Linked DNA regions of Drosophila melanogaster. Changing the gene in region 1 together with any one later gene gives a genetic interaction. Each region holds a gene or a part of one and is shown in the gene's direction. Other genes may lie near its edges. The genes, in order: ClC-b, PGRP-LE, Rel and Trpml.

The links.
Region 2: of ClC-b (region 1) and PGRP-LE, changing one suppresses a phenotype caused by changing the other (phenotypic suppression), as found in Drosophila melanogaster (one study listed by BioGRID).
Region 3: of ClC-b (region 1) and Rel, changing one suppresses a phenotype caused by changing the other (phenotypic suppression), as found in Drosophila melanogaster (one study listed by BioGRID).
Region 4: of ClC-b (region 1) and Trpml, changing one suppresses a phenotype caused by changing the other (phenotypic suppression), as found in Drosophila melanogaster (one study listed by BioGRID).

Annotation. Positions count from the first base shown.
Region 1 is NT_033778.4:12,570,218-12,575,810, forward strand, and holds ClC-b (chloride channel-b), read left to right. Parts: upstream 1-1,850; 5' UTR 1,851-1,920; coding exon 1,921-2,160; intron 2,161-2,283; coding exon 2,284-2,388; intron 2,389-2,472; coding exon 2,473-2,674; intron 2,675-2,764; coding exon 2,765-3,736; intron 3,737-3,795; coding exon 3,796-3,965; intron 3,966-4,016; coding exon 4,017-4,403; intron 4,404-4,461; coding exon 4,462-4,620; intron 4,621-4,676; coding exon 4,677-4,760; intron 4,761-4,824; coding exon 4,825-4,947; 3' UTR 4,948-5,082; downstream 5,083-5,593. Other genes in the region: stil (stand still), read left to right, coding at 232-426, 503-775, 928-999, 1,118-1,543.
Region 2 is NC_004354.4:15,800,644-15,805,529, reverse strand, and holds PGRP-LE (peptidoglycan recognition protein LE), read left to right. Parts: upstream 1-1,649; 5' UTR 1,650-2,203; intron 2,204-2,439; 5' UTR 2,440-2,822; coding exon 2,823-3,021; intron 3,022-3,090; coding exon 3,091-3,390; intron 3,391-3,453; coding exon 3,454-3,567; intron 3,568-3,782; coding exon 3,783-3,847; intron 3,848-3,919; coding exon 3,920-4,279; 3' UTR 4,280-4,377; downstream 4,378-4,886. Other genes in the region: CG15602 (uncharacterized protein), read right to left, coding at 4,634-4,886. UniProt on the Drosophila melanogaster protein: Peptidoglycan-recognition protein that plays a key role in innate immunity by binding to murein peptidoglycans (PGN) of Gram-negative bacteria and activating the imd/Relish pathway. Has no activity against on Gram-positive bacteria.
Region 3 is NT_033777.3:9,043,678-9,049,851, reverse strand, and holds Rel (relish), read left to right. Parts: upstream 1-1,874; 5' UTR 1,875-2,416; coding exon 2,417-3,328; intron 3,329-3,624; coding exon 3,625-5,628; 3' UTR 5,629-5,669; downstream 5,670-6,174. UniProt on the Drosophila melanogaster protein: Transcription factor that plays a key role in the humoral immune response as part of the peptidoglycan recognition protein (IMD) signaling pathway.
Region 4 is NT_037436.4:19,713,896-19,720,041, reverse strand, and holds Trpml (transient receptor potential cation channel, mucolipin), read left to right. Parts: upstream 1-1,713; 5' UTR 1,714-1,973; coding exon 1,974-2,342; intron 2,343-3,043; coding exon 3,044-3,894; intron 3,895-4,034; coding exon 4,035-4,773; 3' UTR 4,774-5,624; downstream 5,625-6,146.

The DNA of each region.
Region 1 (5,593 bases):
TTTAACACTAATAATGTTGCCAACTTTAAACGTACAAAGGGGCCTTTTTCTATTCTTTTTGTCTATCTTCGGTTAGTCAAGAACCGTTGCTTTTGCCTAGTTCTCTCTTTCATTCCATTTTCTTCCTATTCCTGCGAGGAGAGAATCTGTATCTTCCTCTGCTTTGACATTCCTCCTATTCCCTTCGTTCTCGAAAGCTAGCAGGTTCATTCCCATTTATGAAACTGAAAAATGTCCGTAAACTTGGACGGTTCTGAAGAAAAGATGGAGCTGAAAAAGCATGTGCCGTACATCCTGAACGGGGAACTGTATCGCATCGAGAAGCAGGTGGGCGACAATGTTACGGTCAAGTGCTGCTACTGTCCGCCGGATCGGATTTATCGCGGCAGTGTCCGCTCCACCGGGAACTTTCACATGCACATCAAGGTAGGGATTCCACCCATTTGCTAGGGGTAAATGAAAGTTATTAACGTGGTTTTATTTTGGCAATCCCCGTGCGCAGAGACGTCATAGTTCCTTGTTGGGCAAACTCCATGAAATGAAGGTGGCTGCACTGGAAGAACGCCGTGATCGGATCATGAAAAACCGACGCTTTGCCAAGTCGCGCAAGAAGGCACCAGTTGCGGTTGCAGCCACAAGTACAGCTGCGCAGAGCGATTCCGGGGTGTTCGTGGACATGCAAGCTGCTGTTCCGTCTGGAAACGAAAGCCACGAGCTGAAAATCAAAACGGTTTTTCAGCGCCACAAGCAAGAGCAGGAGGGAGCTACCCGCAAGGTATGTTTTGGGTGGGCAGAAGCGAGATGTCGACATCTCTCACCTTGCCTTTTACCGTTAGAATCGAATACTGTATCTGTTCGGATAGCGAAATAGCTTAATGTATTGTTGTGACATGTATTGGTGAGCTTGATATCTCCGTTTTTTTCCAGCTCGAAGATTCCACTTCAGATAAAGCTAATCTACCAAATATCCCTAAGAACTTGGGAATTGTCGTTCAGAACGTAAGTTTCCTTTATTCGCAAATAAATATACATATATATTTTGTAGATCATATTTTAAATATCAAGTTTTGAACATATTTCAATATTTAATGAAGCCTATTTACATGTATTTTTTCAGGTCTCAAACATCTCGGTGGAAACACTGCCCGGCGGTTCGACTCCTGCCAGTGTCTCCTTTCTGGGTCGTCCTGTCAAGCCTGAGCAGGGTAGTGGTCCGTCATTCCTGGCTGATCAGCCGGCTGCCATAGATTTGAGCCAGGTTCCACCAGTGCAGGGCGAGAGTAAATCCAGTGGATCGCTGGCTTCATCGATGGAGGACGTCTCCATGGAGTACTCACGCTCCCAGGCCCTCTCACAATCGCTATCCATGGCCCACTTCTTGGAGCATCCTCAGCGAGATGTGCTGCAGCGCCTGGAGCGCTCGATGGCCCAAATAAGTCAGGAGTTGCACTGCCGCAACCGCATCGAGCACAACCGCATGTTGTTGGAGGCAGCCAAGTTCAAGTTTCTAAATCCGAATTTTCAGTTTGAGCCGAATCTGTAAGAGGCTCAATAAGGAAACCAACTAGACTCCGCGCCAGATTCTGAATCCAAACCAAATGGCAAAACGTTCAAAAACAATGCATTGATAAAAGACTAAGGCTGTCCTAAATATATTTCTAAAATTAAAGAATCTACAGAAGTTTTCGATTTAGGACCACTAAAGAATGGTTATATTTTGCTTTTTTCAATAAAGTATCTTTAAAGATTCGCTTTCGAGATTATCTGCGAAAAAAGCCCTCCATAAAATACTAAGTTGCCGAATAATCGAGATTTTGGTATTTCTCAATGGCCCACGAGTAACCATACTCTCATTCGGCTTTTGTTCTGTTGCTTTTTATTGTTTGTTGTCGGTCACTTGTGTTATTATTGTTTTAAATAATGGACGATAGGAAGGCACTGATTACCCTCGATGGCGAATCAAGCGCTGAGGATGATCCAATCATACTCCAAAAGGAGGCAGGTCCAACTTCCAAAGCTGTGCAGGATTTCGGACTCCACCAAAGAGAAGAGCCCTCCACTAGTGCTTTAGCTAGAAGAGCGACGCTTTCGGGGAATAACCACTTATTGGATGATTCTCAGCCACTGCTAATGGGCAACAATTCAGTGCCTCCCGATATTGTGAGTATCCAACCATGTAACTAAGGTAAACTAAATTAGAATGAATCACCGCTTCGGTTTTTGAGCGGGCTTATCTCTAAACACTCATATTAATTTTATTTCCTTATGCGCTTTGTTTATAAGCCAATTAATGGAAGTGCAGGCAGCCCGAATAGGAACATCAACAGCAGCGAACCCATTTTCCACCTCAGATCCCGAACAGCAGCCGCATCCACGCCCAATTACGAGGTACGTACATACATACTCGTACATATGTACACATAGGGTGTGGAGCTTGACCGATACGATTATCAAAAACTTATGCACTTACAGAGCTTGGACTACGAAGTATGCGAGAACACGCTCTTCCAGGATGAGCAGCGAAAGAGGCTGACAGAGCGATTCTCCCTGCGCAAGGACATCATAAGATGGATCATTTTTATACAGATTGGCATTATCACCGCACTGATAGCTTGCACCATAGATATTATAATCGAAGAGCTCTCGATACGAAAGTACACCTTCCTCTACAATTGTATGTTTTAGTTTTCCTTTTGCTAAATTTATTTCATGGAAAATTAAGTTGTGAACATTTATTAATGCATACTAAATGTTTCACTTGCAGCTGTTAAGGAAAATGTACCCTTAAGCGATGCTTCCGATAGAGATCTGCTGATTCCCTACCTTTACTGGCTCCTCTTCAGCATTGTGCCCGTGGCCTTTGGAGCAGCCATGGTCACCTACATTGAGCCCATAACCGCTGGCAGTGGGATTCCACAGGTGAAGAGCTACCTGAACGGCGTCAAAATACCGCGTATTGTAAGAATTAAAACGCTGGCTGTGAAGGCGATTGGAGTTATAACCTCGGTGGTGGGTGGTTTGGCCGGAGGAAAGGAGGGTCCAATGATACATGCTGGAGCTGTCGTCGCCGCCGGAATTTCGCAGGGCAAAAGCACCACGTTTTTGAAAGATTTCCGCATATTCAAGGCTTTTCGGGATGATCACGAGAAAAGAGATTTCGTTCTTGGAGGCGGAGCCGCGGGAGTTTCAGCTGCTTTTGGAGCTCCAATTGGAGGCATGCTTTTTTCTCTGGAGGAAGCGGCTAGTTTCTGGAACCAGAATCTCATTTGGCGCACCTTAGTGGCCTCCATTATCAGCGTATTCACCTTGAATATCGTTTTATCAGCTTACCATGGCCTAAACGATTTCACGTTCACGGGTCTCTTCAACTTGGGCAAGTTTGATACGCCTTTGAAATTCGACTACTTTGAGCTGCCCATCTTCATGATTCTGGGAGTAACTGGTGGATTACTCGGAGCCGCCTGGAACTCTCTTAATACCAAAATCAATAAATTTCGGAAGCGCTTTATTCCGTGGAAAATCGGAAAGGTTCTCGAAGCTGTTGTAGTGGCAATGATGGGCGTAACTTTGGCTTGTCTAATGATTTACTTTATCAACGATTGTCGTCCACTGGGCAACGATCCGACCAACAATCCTGTACAGCTTTTCTGCGAGGACAACGAATATAATGCCGTGGCTGCCTTGTGGTTTCAAACGCCAGAGGCTACAGTCAGATCCTTGTTCCACGATCCTCCAGGTGGTTATTTTTAAGAATATACTCTTATAGTTTTAATCATTTTTGTTTTGGTTTCTTAGGATCCCATAAGATTCTGACGCTAGCCCTTTTCACAGTTGTTTACTATGTGCTGTCCTGTGCTACGTTTGGTCTCAATGTGTCCTTGGGTGTCTTCATCCCAACTGCTCTGGTCGGCGCAGCATGGGGTCGTCTTTTAGCCATGCTTACCTACTATGTATTCCCACAGGCGGTAAGCAATGTAAACCAAACCATTTTCCATAAACTAAACCATGATTTTCAGGAGTTCCTGCATCCGGGTAAATATGCCCTAATTGGAGCTGCAGCTAACTTGGGTGGAGTGCTTCGAATGACCATTAGCTTGTCAGTTATATTGATGGAAACCACTGGCGTGGAGACGTCCTTCTTCTTTCCCCTTATCATTGCACTTATCAGCGCCAAGTGGGTCGGTGACTACTTCAACGAGGGCATCTACGATACGCAGATCCAAGTAAATCATGTGCCCATGCTGACCTGGGAGCCATTGCCGCAATACAAGGGTCTGAAAGCTCGCGAAATTCTAAGCAAACCAGTGATCTGTATCAAGATCCGCGATTCCGCTAATTACATATATGAGATGCTCAAGAAGTGCGACCACAACGGATTTCCGGTGGTCGATGATGTTTGCGGAGTAAGATCAAAGAAATTTCACATAACTCCATGTTATTAGTATTTTACCAATCTTGCAGGATCGTCGATCGGAGGGTCGCGTTTGTGGCATCATCTTGCGCTCGCAACTGATTGTTATTTTGCTCAAATCCCTGTATGTGGAGAACAAACGATTCTGGCTGCCAGAAACTTCAATTCAGACATTCAGGGACCTCTATCCCCGTTTTCCATCAATCAAGGTATTGATTTGTATTACAACATTATTAAGGAAAATATTTCAAGTTTCCTATTTCAGAGTGTTCGCAAGCTAGATGAGAAAATCAATTACACTGTGGACTTGTCCATGTTTATGAATCCATCACCTATTCGAGTCAATCCGGTGAGTAATGTTACATTTTTTGAAATTTCTCCAAGCACTGTTTGATTATCCAATTGTTTCTTAGCACGATTCGGTGCCTAGAATTTTTCAGATATTCCGCGCATTGGGGTTGCGTCATTTGCTGGTCATCAACCATGAGAATCGCATTGCTGGCATTATAACGAGAAGGGATTTTATTTACAAGTAACTTTGCATTAAATGCACTTTTACGAAAATTTATCGAATGCCAAAAGTGGGTCTAATCAATTAAATATTTTCCATTCACTTTTGATAAACTTTTGTTTTAATATCTGCGCAATACATTTTTACAATTTAACTTAATAACCTTAAACGCGTAAAATATATAAACAATAGTATTCACAAGGAATTGTACACGGTTTGTATGTGGGTGTTTTGTTTGTTTTGTATTAAAAATACGTTACACTTATGATAAAGTAAAAGAGCTTGGTTTTAAAAAATCTTAAAACACTAAACAGACGTGTTCTGGTTCCTAGTTACTAGCACAACTGTCTCGATCGGTTTCTAGTGCAAAATCGTTAAAAATATCCGTGACTTAAATTGTGGTCTTGCGATTGTGTTTAAGGTGTATGTGGCTCTAGGCGTATAAACTTTATATCTTAATTCTAAAAGCGCATCAATAAAACAGGACGCTGCCGTCGTAAAATTAATTCTAAAATTTATGCAACGTAAGACTATAAAATTCTTATTTAGGAGCACTTTCGCCTAAGATTAAATGACTTTTTGTACAATATGAAAAAGAGCTTTCCTTCGTTCATCAATCAATTTCCAGAGCCCAATGCCATGCCGGACATTAAACAGTCGATCGCGCGTTG
Region 2 (4,886 bases), on another chromosome or scaffold:
ATCGTTAAGGAGGGGGAACAATGGCTTGGGTATTATTTGTTTATTTGTATTTATACGTATTTTTTTTTTTTTTGCTGGCCCAACTCGCTTCAGTAGTTTTCCCGAAGACGATGTGCGGGTGTTTTTTGTGATTATTAATTTATTTATTTGTTTTTTTTTTGAATGGGGTGCAACAGTTGTGCTGCAATCAGCACAAATAAATCTTTGTGGGTGATTCATAAGCTGTCAAATAAACGCATACAGCACTGCACAGCACAGCAAAAAAAATGTTGGAAAAAAAATAAAAATAAAAACACGATGTAGAACAAAATATTGGTATTGGGCAGAATGGCCGAAAAGCGCTCCGAATTACCTGCGCATTAACAATAACGGCGCGAATCGGATAGGGATACTATCCAATCCAACACTATCCAATCCCAATCCACTCCACGCTCTCTATATGTAAACTTAGCACACACGAACGCAAATTTACACTGGCATACATGAAATGCAATTATTATTATTATTATTATTATTATTATTTTTTTGTTTCCACGGTCTGTTTCAGATCCGGTTGCAGCTTATGCGAAGCTAATTAAACTAAAACTATAACTACAACTTTGTTTACACAACACACCGCTGGCCGAATGCAACGTCGAATTGTGCTAAAGCGAACCCATTATTTAAGATTTCATTAAATCCGCGACGTTTTTTCCTCCAGGGCACATCATCTGATGTTGATGGTTTTTCTCAAACTTTGCGCTTATTTTTACCGGCACACGGCGCAATCTGTTTGGCTTTGGACTGGGTACGAACTTGTACTTGTACGGTACACCGATAGAACAACATATCCGACGGATAGCGACGAACAAACGGAACGGGATGGGTTTGGCGGATGGCGGATGGTGGATGCGGATGTGGATGGAAATTCGGTACGAGAAGAAAAAACCGCAATTCGATTATATCTTATGGCTGGCGTTTGTTTTAATTTTAACTAATGTTAACTAGCTCTCGCAATCGAAATAACACAGACAGACGCAAGCGATGGCATAAACAGAACTACCAATAAGAAATTATCTCAAAATGTATTTCAGGCAAAAAGTAAAACAGTAAAAGCTCTTCTCATTGAGCATTCGCATTCGCACTCGGCTGCTTCCATCGAAAAATTTTTCGAAACTGAAAGCAGAAATATATTTTTCTGGCCATTCCAATTCGACTCGAAACTCTCTCGCTCTCTTCCTCGCTCTCTTTGTGCGCGGTTCCAATCGGAACCAATTGTGGAACCTAAGAGAGCGTTAATTCTAAGATTTTACATAAAGAGAATCCGTTTTTCTCTTTCATTTTCATACATTTTTATGTTTTCTCTTCCCCTAAATTATGTTAAAAGCTTTAATACCAAAGCTTCACTTTATTTGACAGCTGATTCAGCTGAAGGTGATTGCCGCCCTTTTTTGAACTCCACTAAAAAATGCCTATTTTGGTATATTTGATTAGGTTATCTGTTGATTACAATATATTTAAGCTGTTTGTCCAATTAGCGAAGATATTTAAAAAGTTTATTTCACTTTTTGATATGCTTTTAATTTAACTTTTAAATTAGACTGTGTTCCTGTTCGGAATACGGTCACACCGGAACAAAAACATAAACAGACCTTTGAATGCATTCCACTGTGCAGTCAAAAGTAATAAATATAAGCTCCTCAGTTTTATACGTCAAACTATCGCTTAAGCAATGTATAAAATTAGTTTATAAGTTGGTTACATTTTAGTTTATTCTCTTTTAATGGCTCTAAGTGACTATTAAATCCGTGTTGTGGTAGCTCTTTGGTTGGCTTGAATAGCCAGCAGTAACTAAATATAAAAATAAAGAAAGTAATTGAGAGACTTGGAGGGAAGAACAGCGCATACGCGAGAGTGGTCGAGTGAATGTTTACAGCGCATGAATTAGGTTTTGGTGGTTTATCTGAGTACCTCTAGCCCCATGACTAATGCTTAAAGATGGGCTGACTTGGGTGTAATCACCTGCCTCTACAGGTTTATTATCAAACACGGTGCAGTGTTGCAGTTAACTGCTTAGCATTAAAGCCCAATATAGGCAAGAGTGTTGGAAAGCTCATCTTTTCCAGCACTGGGTGCATTGTACCTCCAGTCGATTTGATTGGTGAACCAAACTGGTTATATTTTAGCCAGTGATAAGGGGTTTTCGGATCTGGACAAAGCATTTGTATGTTTATATATTTATATATATTATATTTATTTATTTATATATATTTATTTACTTATTTATTTATTTATATATATTTATATATTTTCATAGAACAATATATATATGTATACAGAAATATATGTCCAAAACGGTTAAAGAGGGATAATTTAAACTATTTTTTTTTGTTCGTATTTAAATTTTTGTAAGCTTTATATGGTTAATCAAATACTTATCGAAATCTGAAACTCAACTAGTGGATGCGGCCCACTGTATGTACGATACCGCTAAGCTCCCTTCAAAGGCAGTGGAATTGTTCTAAATGCGAACATCGATAATACTTATCGATATCTAGACTGATCCTCGATATCCATGACAATAATTAATACACATGACTAAATATGCAAAAAAAAAGCCCCAAGTGGACTGATATGCAAAAAAGCATTTCACCACGGCACCTGCGCATATAATGGTGGATAGCCTGTGGAACGTCCTTATCTTATCGTGTAAGGTGGACACGACACGAACACTAATCAGAGAATAGAGCAGTTCTAACTCACAATATTGATAAACAAAGTAAGGGCCAGCCGAGAGATACACGCGCATTTATTGGCAGCAAACAGAAGCCAAAACTACGGACATGTCCGAATCGGGAATCAAAAAGTTGAGCCAGGAGCGGACTCGCGAATGGTTGGCTAGTCAGGAGGACGAGGAACTGGAGTCCATTGCAGAGTCCTCGGTTGTGGACAGCTTGGACTACGATTATACCGAGGAAGAGGAGGATGCCGACCAAAATACCAGTGAAGAAATCAGCACTATGACACTAGGCACTCAAATCGGTGCGTAGTACTCAAGATCAAGTTTCTATATTCAATTTATAACACTTTCAATATATCCCCACCTTAAAGCTACCAAAAAGCATTCGATCATCAGCGACACCATAAGGGACCTTATGAACTCGATCAACAGCATTCAGACTTTGGGCAACGTTAATATAAGCAACTCCACGAACGTCCATATCGGCAATGTTACCAATATTAATGGAAATATACAAATCATAGCCGATGGCCTTACTCAAAACCGAAGAGATCGGCGGCATGTTTCACCACCGAGAGATAACGCTCCCAAAACTCCGACACATTTCGAAGACGACTATCAGGACGAGTCGGAGGAGAGGGTGCGCTCGGATGTGTTCATCAGGCGCCAGAGTAAGCTATCATTCACCAGGGGATGCATACACGTTAACCATAGGATACCGATTTCACTTACAGAATTCAAAATACCCAAGGAGCTGTCCGCCATCATTCCGCGCTCTTCGTGGCTAGCACAGAAGCCCATGGACGAGCCACTGCCCTTGCAACTGCCTGTTAAATATGTGGTTATCTGTGAGTATTCAAGTTTGCTGCACGTTTTAACCATTTTTTTGCCAACTGATTATAAATCAAGTTGTCTGTAAAAGTATGACGCAATAATTAAAACAATTTATACTATTTGATCTGACCATCATGCTTAGCACTCACTAACCTAAGATTATATCGTATTATAACTCTTTTCGAATATATTTAAAACCTTGATTAACAAATATTGTTTTACCACGCAGTACACACAGCTACAGAGAGTTCAGAAAAGCGGGCGATCAACGTAAGACTTATCCGTGACATGCAGGTAAGTATTTCGTTAGCGAAATTAAATCATATATGCTCCGAACTATATAATAATTATGTATATATATTTCAGTGCTTCCACATTGAGTCGCGGGGATGGAATGACATTGCGTACAACTTCCTGGTCGGCTGCGATGGCAACATCTACGAGGGACGCGGATGGAAAACGGTGGGCGCCCACACTCTGGGTTACAACAGGATCTCGCTGGGGATCAGTTTCATTGGATGCTTCATGAAAGAACTCCCGACGGCAGACGCCTTGAATATGTGCCGCAATCTGTTGGCCCGCGGCGTTGAGGATGGTCACATATCCACCGACTATAGATTAATTTGTCACTGCCAGTGCAATTCGACGGAGAGTCCTGGTCGGCGATTGTACGAGGAGATACAGACATGGCCCCACTTTTACAATATCGAGGAGGAGGAACAATGAGGGACAAAAGAAGAGCACCATTTCACATACTTAGACTTAAATGCACCCGAGTTACGTTTATAATGTTGAACATTAAATCACCTGTTTATAAATTTTCCAGCTACTGGCAGTTTCGTTAAGTTACTTTATATTTTGGTATAGTTTTTGCAGCGCTGAAAGGTGGAAAAACCACAAGATGTTTCGGAACCAACATCGCCTACCTGTTTTAATTCACAACTGAAAGAGAAGCAACAATTATACTGCACAAATATGAGCGAGCTAGCACCACATAAATACAGACAATAGTAATGCATTTGCTGAAAACAATCTATAATTAAACAAAAATTTGCGTACAGTCAAGTAAACAATTAACAATTAGAAGTGATTTTCTTTAAGCTTTGGCGGAGCCGAATACTTTTCCTTAACGTGAGCACGGTACTCCTCGTCATCATCGTGGCACTCCTTATAGCATAGAGTGCAAAAGAGTTCCCCACCACATCCGTGGCATCGGAAGTCGGCGTCTTCGTTACAAATATTGCACCAGGGCAATTCTTCGGTGTTGCCGGGCGACTCAGTGTTAATTGGACTAATTTCACTCTCGGAAGGTTCTGGTAAGCGCGATTCTGCT
Region 3 (6,174 bases), on another chromosome or scaffold:
ACTTATGGAATAGGTAATGGGTGATCAGAGGGGGCTGAACTCAAAGGCTTATCAGTGGGAGACGTTGGTGGCCCCCTGTGGAGCAAATTGACGTCACCGGCCAACAGAATCCAACTTAATCTCCGAGTGCAGTAATCGGAAATCAGATTTCGTCATCCGCCGCGTCGAAGAAAAACAAACTATTGAAAAATAACTCGTGTCGGAAATTTTAGAACAGCAAATATTCCCAACCAAAATCGTAATCATGTAACTGGTAATAAAAGCAACAAAAGTTGTTCTCCACGTCTTTAAGAATTTCCTAAATAAATATTTGTGCACACAAGGCGAACTTTTAAAAATTTTCATGTTGAGAAAATAAAATATGTTCAATATGTGTTTAGCTATTTTCCGCGTTGTTTCAAAATCGAAAATCCATATATGCACATATGTATTTGTTCCGTTTTAAGCCATATTTATATGCACACAGTTCAAAACTTTTATCGACAAGTGTTTAAAGCTTTTAAGTCGCGCTCGCTCGCACACGCATATTTAGTGCGCTGAACCGAAAAGCTTTTATCCAAAATATACAAACACGTGCGAGGCTCATTCAGTGATCTGTTTCGTTCTATACAGTCCATCGGTATCCGACAATCAGTGCAGTTCGAATTTTCCACCAGGAAAATTTCGCAAAAGCCAACAAAAGAAGTCACAATAAGGTATGCTGCTAGTGAAAATTGGCTAACAAAAATCCATAAAAAATACATAATTGACCTTCAAAGAAATTTGAATAGGCGTTCTTAAGACACGTTTGCTTTTATCAAGCCAAGAAAACGAATTTTCCTTTGTCCGCATAAAGAGCTAATTTTGTAGCCTGCCTATTAATAACTCTAGTCTAGACGCAGACTAGTGGTTGCAAAGTCAAGACCCCGATTTGTTTATGTTTTTCCTGCTAATTGATTATCAATATAAACAAACTCATCGTCAACTGATAAGGTGTAAAAGCATTTACACACACACACCCACACACCTTGGCATGGTAACAAGAGTAAGAGAGGAACGGCGAAGTGAGAAGATTGATTAACACATCAAAAAGTGCAAAGGGATCGTAAATACATACATATATACTCTAAGTGCAGCCTGGCAACAGATCAGCTGTTTCTGCGTGAGTGTGCGTGTGTGTGTGCGCGGGTCCAGTGGGAGTGGAAACCGACTGAATTGCAAATTAGTTCAGTGGCGCATGCTTATGTAGTTTTTTTTTATCATTTAGCACAAGTGTCTTAGGATAAAAGAACATTCCGGTGTTTTAAATTTTCCAACCATGTTGCGACGTTCTATAGGATCCATTTCGGTCTTGGCTTCCCGGAATTACGCCGGAAAGTCTAACTTCAGGTGTGTATGCTCATAAGAAAGTGAATCGGGTCCGAAATAAAACGTAATATCATACGAAGAAAAACAAAGCGTGCGCTAGAGATGAGTGCGTGACGAAAGTGAATTAAGGGAAAAGCCAATGGAAAGCGTAAAAATATATTATTAATAATACTAATATTCGGTACTTGCATTGCATAATTATTATTATTTTATAACACAGTTATAAGTTGTTACGCCGGTTCTCATTATAAATTTGTATTAAAATTCCTTATATCTTTATATTTATATAAGTGTTGTATTATTTATATTAATATTTTGTATTATATACCTTTATATCTTTTTGTCGAAATAGGTTAAATTATATTTATAAAAATTAATCAAGAATAATGGGAACAAACAATCGCGTACGCTTCCATCCCTAGATTTGTAGAACATCTGATTGGGGCGTTGCCACCCAACTCGTTTTATCTGCCGGTGGCAGCTCTGCCTTGTTTTTATTTTAGTGTGCGCGGTGTGTTGAAATCAGGTATTCAAATAAATGAATTTGAACCGTAGTTTCCGTGAAAAGCTGACCCGAAAGCTCGGCGCAAATAGCTTAAACCTGTTATCAGGGCAGCGAGCGTTTTGCTCGCAACTCGTGAGCGATACTACTTGTGTTCGCGCAGTGCTTCGTTCATTTTCGTTCCAGCAGTGGCGCACTAAAGTTCCCCGATTCGCTGCGTCGTTTTTCCATAAATTTGCATATATGTATTAGTTGGGTGGAATACATATAAACAGTGTGATTTCGCTCTGTAAACAACAACCGCGAATCCAGAATTCCGTACATGCTTATAGTATAGCCGATCAAAAAAATCACACTGAGTGGTGCGCCAGAAAAACCCGTGAGTCATCTCGACGTGGCCGCCGCAGATAATTTCCCATCCGCCGAACATCGGGGAAGTACCTAAAACGAATGGTCAGCCATCGGCGGAGCTCGTTTCGATCATTAGCGTTCCGATCGGCGAAGGCAGCGGATCACTTTTGAGTTGTTAAGACGCTATTGATCAGAAATATTGGATTGATACGGACTATGAACATGAATCAGTACTACGACCTGGACAATGGGAAAAATGTGATGTTTATGAACGATGCATCCAGCACCAGTGGCTATAGCAGCAGTACATCACCCAACTCCACCAACCGATCCTTTTCACCAGCCCACTCCCCGAAAACCATGGAACTGCAAACGGACTTCGCCAATCTTAATTTGCCCGGCGGCAATTCACCACACCAGCCGCCAATGGCAAACTCACCATACCAGAATCAGCTGTTGAACAACGGCGGAATTTGCCAATTGGGTGCTACCAATTTAATAAACTCCACTGGCGTTAGTTTCGGCGTTGCTAATGTCACCAGTTTTGGCAACATGTACATGGATCACCAGTACTTTGTGCCCGCTCCGGCCACTGTGCCACCGTCCCAAAACTTTGGATACCATCAAAATGGCCTGGCATCTGACGGCGATATCAAACACGTGCCGCAGCTGCGGATCGTTGAGCAACCGGTGGAGAAGTTCCGCTTTCGGTACAAGAGCGAGATGCATGGAACACATGGATCGCTAAATGGCGCCAATTCGAAGCGGACGCCCAAAACCTTCCCGGAGGTTACACTGTGCAACTACGATGGACCCGCCGTCATCCGGTGCAGTTTGTTCCAAACTAACTTGGACAGCCCACATTCCCATCAGCTGGTCGTGCGCAAGGACGATCGGGATGTGTGCGATCCGCATGATTTGCACGTGTCCAAGGAGCGCGGCTATGTGGCGCAATTTATCAACATGGGCATCATACACACCGCCAAGAAGTACATATTCGAGGAACTGTGCAAGAAGAAGCAGGATCGCCTGGTCTTTCAGATGAACCGCCGCGAGTTGTCCCACAAACAGCTACAGGAACTGCATCAGGAGACAGAGCGTGAGGCCAAGGACATGAACTTGAACCAGGTGGGTAAACCAGCGCGTAAACAATATCGAGTTGCTTGCTTCGATGAGGTGAATATGCACGTTTGCATTTATTATTCACACGTTTAATTGCTCACTTTAGAATGCTTTAGTCAATTAATTATAGGTTGCATTTGCTACCTTTTAATCTTTTTATTTAAGCAGTCTGTAAAGTATCTACTCGTTTAGCTCGAATTATATAAATTTCTCTGCTAAAATAACTGAGCAATATAACATCGAAGCAATTAACTTACTGAAAAGCAACAAAGAACTCACTAAAAAAGTAACACCAACTTTAGGTGCGGCTCTGCTTTGAGGCCTTTAAAATTGAGGACAACGGCGCATGGGTTCCACTTGCACCGCCTGTATACAGCAATGCAATCAATAACCGCAAGTCGGCACAAACTGGAGAGCTTCGCATCGTCCGCCTGAGCAAACCCACTGGCGGGGTGATGGGCAACGATGAGCTTATTCTACTGGTGGAAAAGGTCAGCAAGAAGAACATTAAAGTGAGGTTCTTCGAGGAGGATGAGGACGGGGAAACCGTGTGGGAGGCATACGCAAAGTTCCGCGAATCGGATGTACACCACCAATATGCCATTGTGTGCCAGACGCCTCCGTACAAAGATAAGGACGTGGACCGCGAGGTCAACGTGTACATCGAGCTCATTCGTCCCTCCGACGATGAGCGCTCATTCCCGGCGCTGCCCTTCCGCTACAAGCCACGGAGCGTAATTGTGTCGAGGAAACGCCGACGAACCGGGTCCTCTGCCAATAGCAGCAGTTCGGGAACAGAAAGCTCTAATAACTCGCTGGATCTGCCCAAAACGCTGGGCTTGGCGCAGCCACCAAATGGCTTGCCAAACCTTTCACAGCATGATCAGACTATAAGTGAGGAGTTCGGACGCGAAAAGCATCTAAATGAATTTATTGCTTCCGAAGATTTCCGCAAACTTATCGAGCACAACTCTTCTGATCTCGAGAAGATCTGCCAGTTAGACATGGGAGAGTTGCAGCACGATGGTCATAACCGGGCGGAAGTGCCATCGCATCGAAATCGTACAATTAAATGCTTGGATGACTTATTCGAAATTTACAAACAGGACCGCATATCGCCAATAAAAATCTCGCACCACAAAGTGGAGAAGTGGTTTATCGAGCATGCTCTGAATAACTACAATAGAGACACGCTCCTGCACGAAGTGATCAGCCACAAAAAGGACAAACTGAAGCTGGCCATCCAGACGATACAGGTGATGAACTACTTCAATCTGAAAGATGTGGTCAATAGCACTTTGAATGCGGACGGTGATAGTGCCCTGCATGTGGCGTGCCAGCAAGACCGAGCGCACTACATACGACCTTTGCTGGGTATGGGATGCAATCCAAATCTGAAGAATAATGCCGGAAATACCCCACTGCATGTGGCCGTCAAGGAGGAGCACTTAAGCTGCGTGGAAAGCTTCCTTAATGGAGTGCCAACCGTACAATTGGACCTCTCGCTAACGAACGACGATGGTCTGACGCCTTTGCACATGGCCATTCGACAGAACAAGTACGATGTGGCCAAGAAACTGATCAGCTATGATCGGACCTCGATTAGCGTGGCCAACACAATGGATGGTAATAATGCACTCCACATGGCAGTTCTGGAGCAAAGTGTGGAGCTATTGGTGCTCATTCTGGATGCCCAAAATGAAAACCTTACCGACATCCTGCAGGCACAAAATGCAGCCGGCCATACTCCCTTGGAATTGGCCGAACGCAAGGCAAATGACCGGGTGGTCCAGCTGCTGAAGAATGTGTATCCGGAGAAGGGAGAACTGGCCATGACCTGGATTCCATGTAAGGTCAAGGAGGAGATCGATTCATCGTCGGACGAAAGTAGCGATGCTGGTCAGCTGGAGATCAAGTCCGAGGAGATGGACATCGAAACAAAGGACGAGGATTCCGTGGAGTTGGACCTAAGTAGTGGTCCAAGAAGACAGAAAGATGAATCCAGTAGAGACACCGAAATGGACAACAACAAATTGCAGTTGCTGCTCAAAAACAAATTCATTTACGACCGGCTCTGTTCGCTGCTGAATCAGCCTTTGGGACATGGGTCCGATCCCCAAGATCGGAAATGGATGCAACTAGCCCGCCAGACGCATCTGAAGCAGTTCGCCTTTATATGGCTGGGCGCGGAGGATCTGTTGGATCACGTGAAAAGAAAAGGAGCCTCTGTAGAGTTTTCCACATTTGCTCGTGCCCTGCAGGCAGTGGATCCACAGGCTTACGCCCTACTGGTTAACCCAACTTGATTATGTATTGAATGTTGATCAATAAAGTACCTTAGTTTTACAAATACTATTCTCTTGTGGAATGAAAAATACGCGAAACTAGGATGCCTGGGATAGCAAGCTTTATTTTTAAATATCAGAGCATTAATTTATTTTCCTTTATTAGCATTTATTTAGTTTCCTTTATTATTCCATGGAATCTATTCTTTAGAATAGTTCTATAAGCAATCTAAACTTGTTCCCTCAAACAATTACCATCGGCGCCCTGCATGAGATCACTAGCAAAAGGGGATCCATCGATAGCTCGGCATTAAAAAGTACATTCTAAGAATGGGGAATCACTAATTTTTCATTGCCGCTCGCGCACGCCGCTTGGTAAACAAGTGGGTGAATCATACATGTACTTATGCGCCTAAGTGTGTGTTGTGGGGGAATTACTGTTGCGTAACTGCAGTGACAGGCGGGGATTTACCGACAGCCCTTATCATTCCCGGTTTATGACCTTTCCTGCTATATTTTTTCAAGAATATCGCAACTAAATAATGTTTTAAGGAATAGTACAGTGTA
Region 4 (6,146 bases), on another chromosome or scaffold:
AGAGAAGCCGAAAAAACCGTCTAGTCACAAGGTCTTCAGACTAGTTATTGTTTTATATAAAATAAACACACACCCACACATCTAAATGTACGTTTGTAAATGTAACACATAAACACAACGACACACATATTTATACGACGATGGAGAATCAAAATCAAATATTTTATGTAAATGTAATCGAAATTTTCTGCTTTCCATACACGATGCGCAGCAGCAAACAAATTATGCTTAAACAGAAACTAGTTAATTTATGTATTTGAAAATCAAAACGAGCGTGAAAAATGTAATGTATCAATGTGTTTTGCTAGTACGTAGTTAAGTGCGTGTGATTGTACGTAATATTTAAGTCTCTAAAGCTAAAATAATAATTATAATTAATTGAACGCGAATTGTGAGCAGAGAAGAGCGAAAATGCGCCCGATGAGAGGTGTTTTAGCTGTATGTATGTATGTATGTATATTTTTAAATGAAAATTTGTTAAATTTGCCATATATAAATACAAACGAGAAACTATTAAAAGTGTGTTTGTCCAGATATGCTTAAATGGTGCAAAATGTTCAATAGATGGTAGATACGAGGGTGAATCCTGCGGGAAAGACTAGAAACTTGGAGAACACTTCTTCTAAAAGAAACATTTTTAAAATATTCCGAGCACTGGGAACAGTTGTGTTTTGTGTTTCGACAAACATTTCTGAAGTCGTGGTGAATACAAAAAAACATGTTAAGCATATAAGAGATCACTGTAAGTGTGATCTCACGATAAGATCTCTGTAAGTTCTTGCAACTAAAGCCATCGATTCATTGGAACTCCTTTTGAAATGTTTATGCACTGGGAACAGTGAAACGTATGGGAAGACTTCGTGGGTTTTATCAAGAGTTCTTCTTGGGCAGAAAGAAAACATTTGTTTTTTCCTGTGAGTATTATATTTGCTCCAAATGATTATGTATTATTTTACGCTTTTAGTTTATTGGAACTCCTTTTGAAATGTTTATGCACTGGGAACAGTGAAACGTATGGGAAGACTTCGTGGGTTTTATCAAGAGTTCTTCTTGGGCAGAAAGAAAACATTTGTTTTTTCCTGTGAGTATTATATTTGCTCCAAATGATTATGTATTATTTTACGCTTTTAGTTTATTTTTTAACTTCAATTTAATAAGATAACTAAGCATTAGTGACAGATGTTGACATATGTAAGTACGTACGTATGTTTAATGTAAAATACAATGTCAAAAATGAGGTAGCAGTTTTCAAGACCGCAAAATAAAGTTGATTTCTCATAAATTCAAAAATATAAAAAAAGGAAATAGTCATATTTCTTGAACATAAAAGAATAATAAATGGATGGACCTCAATATAATTTTGAATGTACGTCCATGTAGCGTCGATGAGTTAGCTGCGTTAGAGGAACGGCGGAATTTGGAATACGGGGAAGTTTTTAATTAATTATTTTTTCGATATTTAGAGCTGAGTTCTATAAACTGAACTCGTACATAGATAGTTAGATCTTTTCTTTCTTAACATTATTTAATTTTTTTTGGAATTCACCTCCAAATAACGGAAAAAAATAAATAAATAGGAAAGTTCTCCATGTTTCATGTTTCACCGTGCTGCACTTGAATTTTGACTACCGATGAAAAGGCGCGCGATTTAAATAATCGATGATTGCAAGCAACTATCGATGCTGAACTCTATTTGGAACAGTCGATTATATCGAATAAACATCTGTAATCGTTTAAACCTATTGAAAACAAAGCAATTTTCGTGGTCTTTTGGCCAGTATTTAATATAAATTCGCTGGCAAAAGTCGCGTATTAATTGCAAAAGAACACATATTTACCTCCCCTCCCCCGATTGCTTGTTGCGCCTGTGCGGATTCTTCTTTTGCATGTCGACTGGGCGGGCAAAAGAAAGTTAGCACGGAGAACAACAACGCAGGTGACTTGACCTCGCAACGAAGGAGGAGCACATCGAGATGCAGAGCTACGGCCCCGGAGCCCAGACAGCTCCGGCCGTCAAGCGCCGCACGGACAGCTACGAGGCTGCCCAGCAACAGCAGCAGTCGCCGGAGAGCGACGAGGAGTACGTGAACACCAGGATACTGCGGCGCCAAGTGCAGCTGCAGTCCACTCCGGTGGCCCCGGTGGTGCCCATGCCCATATCCGCCGGTAGTGGCACTGCCCCACCCTCCGTGGATGGCCGCGAGGAGCAGCCCGAATTCCCCGGATCCTCGGCTGCATCTTACCAGGAGGAGCGAATGCGCAGGAAGCTTCAGTTCTTCTTTATGAACCCCATTGAGAAATGGCAGGCCAAGCGGAAATTTCCGTACAAGTTCGTTGTGCAGGTGAGTTCACATCCGGGTTTCATTTGCAGTTCACATCTGGATGAATGCTAGTTAATTGAAGTCGTGTGATGCGCGGCGTTTGGGGGCGGAACTCGGGTGACACATCTGAACCACTTATTTAGGCATTTCTCTTAATTTACAGACGCCTTTAAACAGCCGTCTCCGATCTTCAATGTTTGTCTAGATTTCGAGCATGTAAAATGGGGTAGAGTCAACACAGTCTTGATTACTTTGCTTGCATTGTTAAGCCCCTCCACTCTTATCGATGCCTTATCTGATAGGTCCAACTATTGTTAGCACAATACGTAATAAACAAAGTGAAAATTCAAGAATTTTATGGCTAGAAACTGCGTGTGGACGCTTTTGTAGAACCCAAAAAGTTATTTAATATGCGATAAACATCGTGGTCAGGGGGATTTCTTTTGTGCGATTTTTAATGATTAATGCGAAAATGTTATGACTAGTCTTTAAGTCTACACTTAGTCTCTAAGGTCTACAACTAAATTAGATTTCCTGTAGATACCCAATAAATATAGTCTGACGCATGCTCTAACATAATTCGGCTTCTATTTATAGCCCAGCCTCTAGATCTCTGAACTGGCGACCAAGAAAAGGTCCGTCCCCTGAGGCCAAAAGGCAAATAGAAACTTTAAAAGTTATACTATAAACATTTCTTAGCAACTCAAGAATTTTTCTCTTAGATTGTAAAAATCTTTCTGGTGACGATGCAATTGTGCCTTTTTGCCCACTCGCGGTATAACCACATCAACTACACGGGTGATAACCGATTTGCCTTCTCACATCTATTCCTGCGCGGCTGGGATTCTTCCCGGGAGGTGGAGAGTTATCCGCCTGCTGTGGGTCCCTTTGCTCTATACCTCAAATCGGAGTTCTTCGACACTGTGCAGTATGCAGTCAATGGCTACGCGAATGTAAGCCGATCTATTGGACCATACGACTACCCGACGCCCAATAACACAATGCCGCCACTAAAGCTTTGCCTGCAGAACTATAGAGAGGGCACCATATTTGGCTTTAATGAGTCCTACATTTTCGATCCACATATCGACGAGGTGTGTGAGCGACTACCTCCGAACGTAACCACCATTGGGGTGGAGAATTACCTCAGGCAGCGCGATGTGGAGGTCAATTTTGCATCTCTTGTCTCCGCACAGTTGACGTTCAAGATAAAGACGGTTAATTTCAAGGCAAATGGTGGACCTCTTTCTGCTCCTGATTGTTTTCGGTTTGACATTTCCATAACGTTTAACAACCGAGACCATGACGGGCAAATGCTGCTCTCACTGGATGCGGAGGCGACGCGGCTGAAGTGCCACGGAGCAACGGACTTCATATCAGACGCCAATTTCGATTCCATGCTGCGAAGCGTACTTAATATATTCGTCCTACTAACATGCGCACTATCCTTTGCACTCTGTACAAGGGCTCTGTGGAGAGCATATCTGCTGAGATGTACAACTGTCAACTTTTTCCGTTCGCAATTCGGCAAGGAGCTGAGCTTTGACGGCCGACTGGAATTCGTTAACTTTTGGTGAGTCCTTTGTTTTGTGTTATAAAAACCTCGGCTATATTGGCAACAAGTATTACCCATAATGCTGAAGGTTAGGCCGACGTAAACCCAAAAATTATCAGAAAGGTTGCAGACTATAATAAACCGTTTTGCTTTCGCAGGTACATCATGATCATTTTCAATGACGTCCTTTTGATCATTGGATCAGCTCTAAAAGAGCAAATCGAGGGAAGGTACTTGGTGGTGGACCAATGGGATACCTGCTCGCTTTTTCTGGGAATTGGCAACCTGCTTGTTTGGTTCGGAGTGCTGCGCTACCTCGGCTTCTTCAAAACCTACAACGTTGTGATACTGACGCTGAAAAAGGCGGCACCAAAGATTCTGCGCTTCCTTATCGCCGCCTTGCTGATCTATGCTGGATTTGTGTTTTGCGGCTGGCTGATCTTGGGACCCTATCACATGAAGTTCCGATCGCTGGCTACAACGTCAGAGTGCTTGTTTGCGCTGATAAACGGTGATGATATGTTCGCCACCTTTGCCACGCTTTCCAGCAAGGCCACCTGGCTGTGGTGGTTCTGCCAGATCTACTTGTACTCGTTCATATCCTTGTACATTTATGTGGTCCTGTCGCTGTTCATTGCCGTCATAATGGATGCCTACGACACGATAAAGGCGTATTACAAGGATGGCTTTCCCACCACCGATCTCAAGGCATTTGTCGGAACGCGCACTGCAGAGGACATTAGTTCTGGTGTCTTCATGACCGACCTGGACGACTTCGACCAGACGAGCTTCCTTGACGTGGTGAAGAGCATTTGCTGCTGTGGACGGTGCGGTCGGCATCAGGAGCCCGCCCAGCCCAACAGTGGTTACACCAGCCTTTCTAGTATTATGAAGTAACTGGGTGCGCTATGTCGACCCGCAGGTCTTCATTTTGTTTTGTTTTGTCAGCTTTATGTGTGTAGTCAAACTTGTTGTTAGCTTTTTGTATTAGTTTGTTAATTTGCCAAAGCACTTGAACCGAGATAAGAGAAACCATAACGTACGTACCTATGAGAAATTCCAAAAGCAGCTGCTCTGATCACAAACAGCGGGCATGTTCCGATTTTATCTTTCGCAGCAATGGCTTTAATTCGGTTTGCAGAAATATAATTCTGACTGAAATTCATTTTTCTTCAATACAAAAATTACAAAATGTATAAGACCAAAAGGAAAAACTAAATGTAAGGCGAATTTGTGTCATTTCTGCGAAAGTAAAATCCGAAAAATGACTAAGAAAGGGCACCAAGCAACGCTGTACGCTGGGAAACCACAAAGTCGCAAATTTGTTTTTGTAACGCGAGATATTAAGTGTGTGATATAATGTGGAACCAGAATCGGAGAACAATGGAAATTATATTAGAGGGAGCTATTTTTGTTAGCGATATCGACATGGGCCTGGTCAAGATCTTCCATGAAAACGAATGCATCCGAATCGAGTTTTCATAGAAATCTGAAAGTCACAGCAAAAAATTGTATAAAACTGCACTGGTCGACAAAATGAGATTTTTGGCAGTCTAAGCAAATAGTTATTTTAGAAAGTGTTTAGTTCGGCATAACACAACATCGATTTTTGTCGACTTGTGTCAATTTCAGAAGCCATAGATAAGGAAACATTAGGTAACTATATTTTATGTGTACAATGAAAACTTTGTATTTATAACCAAAAACCACAAACACAATAAACTGTTTATAGAACGATTGAATTGAACAAATTGCACTTTGAACCAAAATTTATTACAACGATATGCAACAAAAATGTGTACAACAAAAATAATTAATTGTGAGCTTAACCAAAACGAGGAACAATGAAGTCTACTTTTATCTTCAGATGTAGGTGGCGCAATGTTTTAATGTTTTGACCAGGAAGACAATCGTTAAATTATTTTGTGGTAAGGATACATCCAAAACAGTCAACATAATAAGTGTCAAGAAACCAAGCGAAACATTTCTACAATCGGATAATTGCATTGCAAGAAAAGAAAACCCAATAAAAGGGAAAGGAATAAATGGTTTCACAGTAATTGGACATTTAATAATTTGGCCGATGTTAAATTTTTGCGGTTTTAAGCGTGAATTTCATTGAATGTTTTGCAAGAATTCGCCGAAACGAGATGAGCAAATTTTAATGAAATGGAAAACTGGTTCTCCAATTGACGTAAATTTCATCAGGCAGATGCTGTGCGTCTTCGTTGAAGCGGAAACCGTCCAAGCCAAAGACTTATTTTACTTAA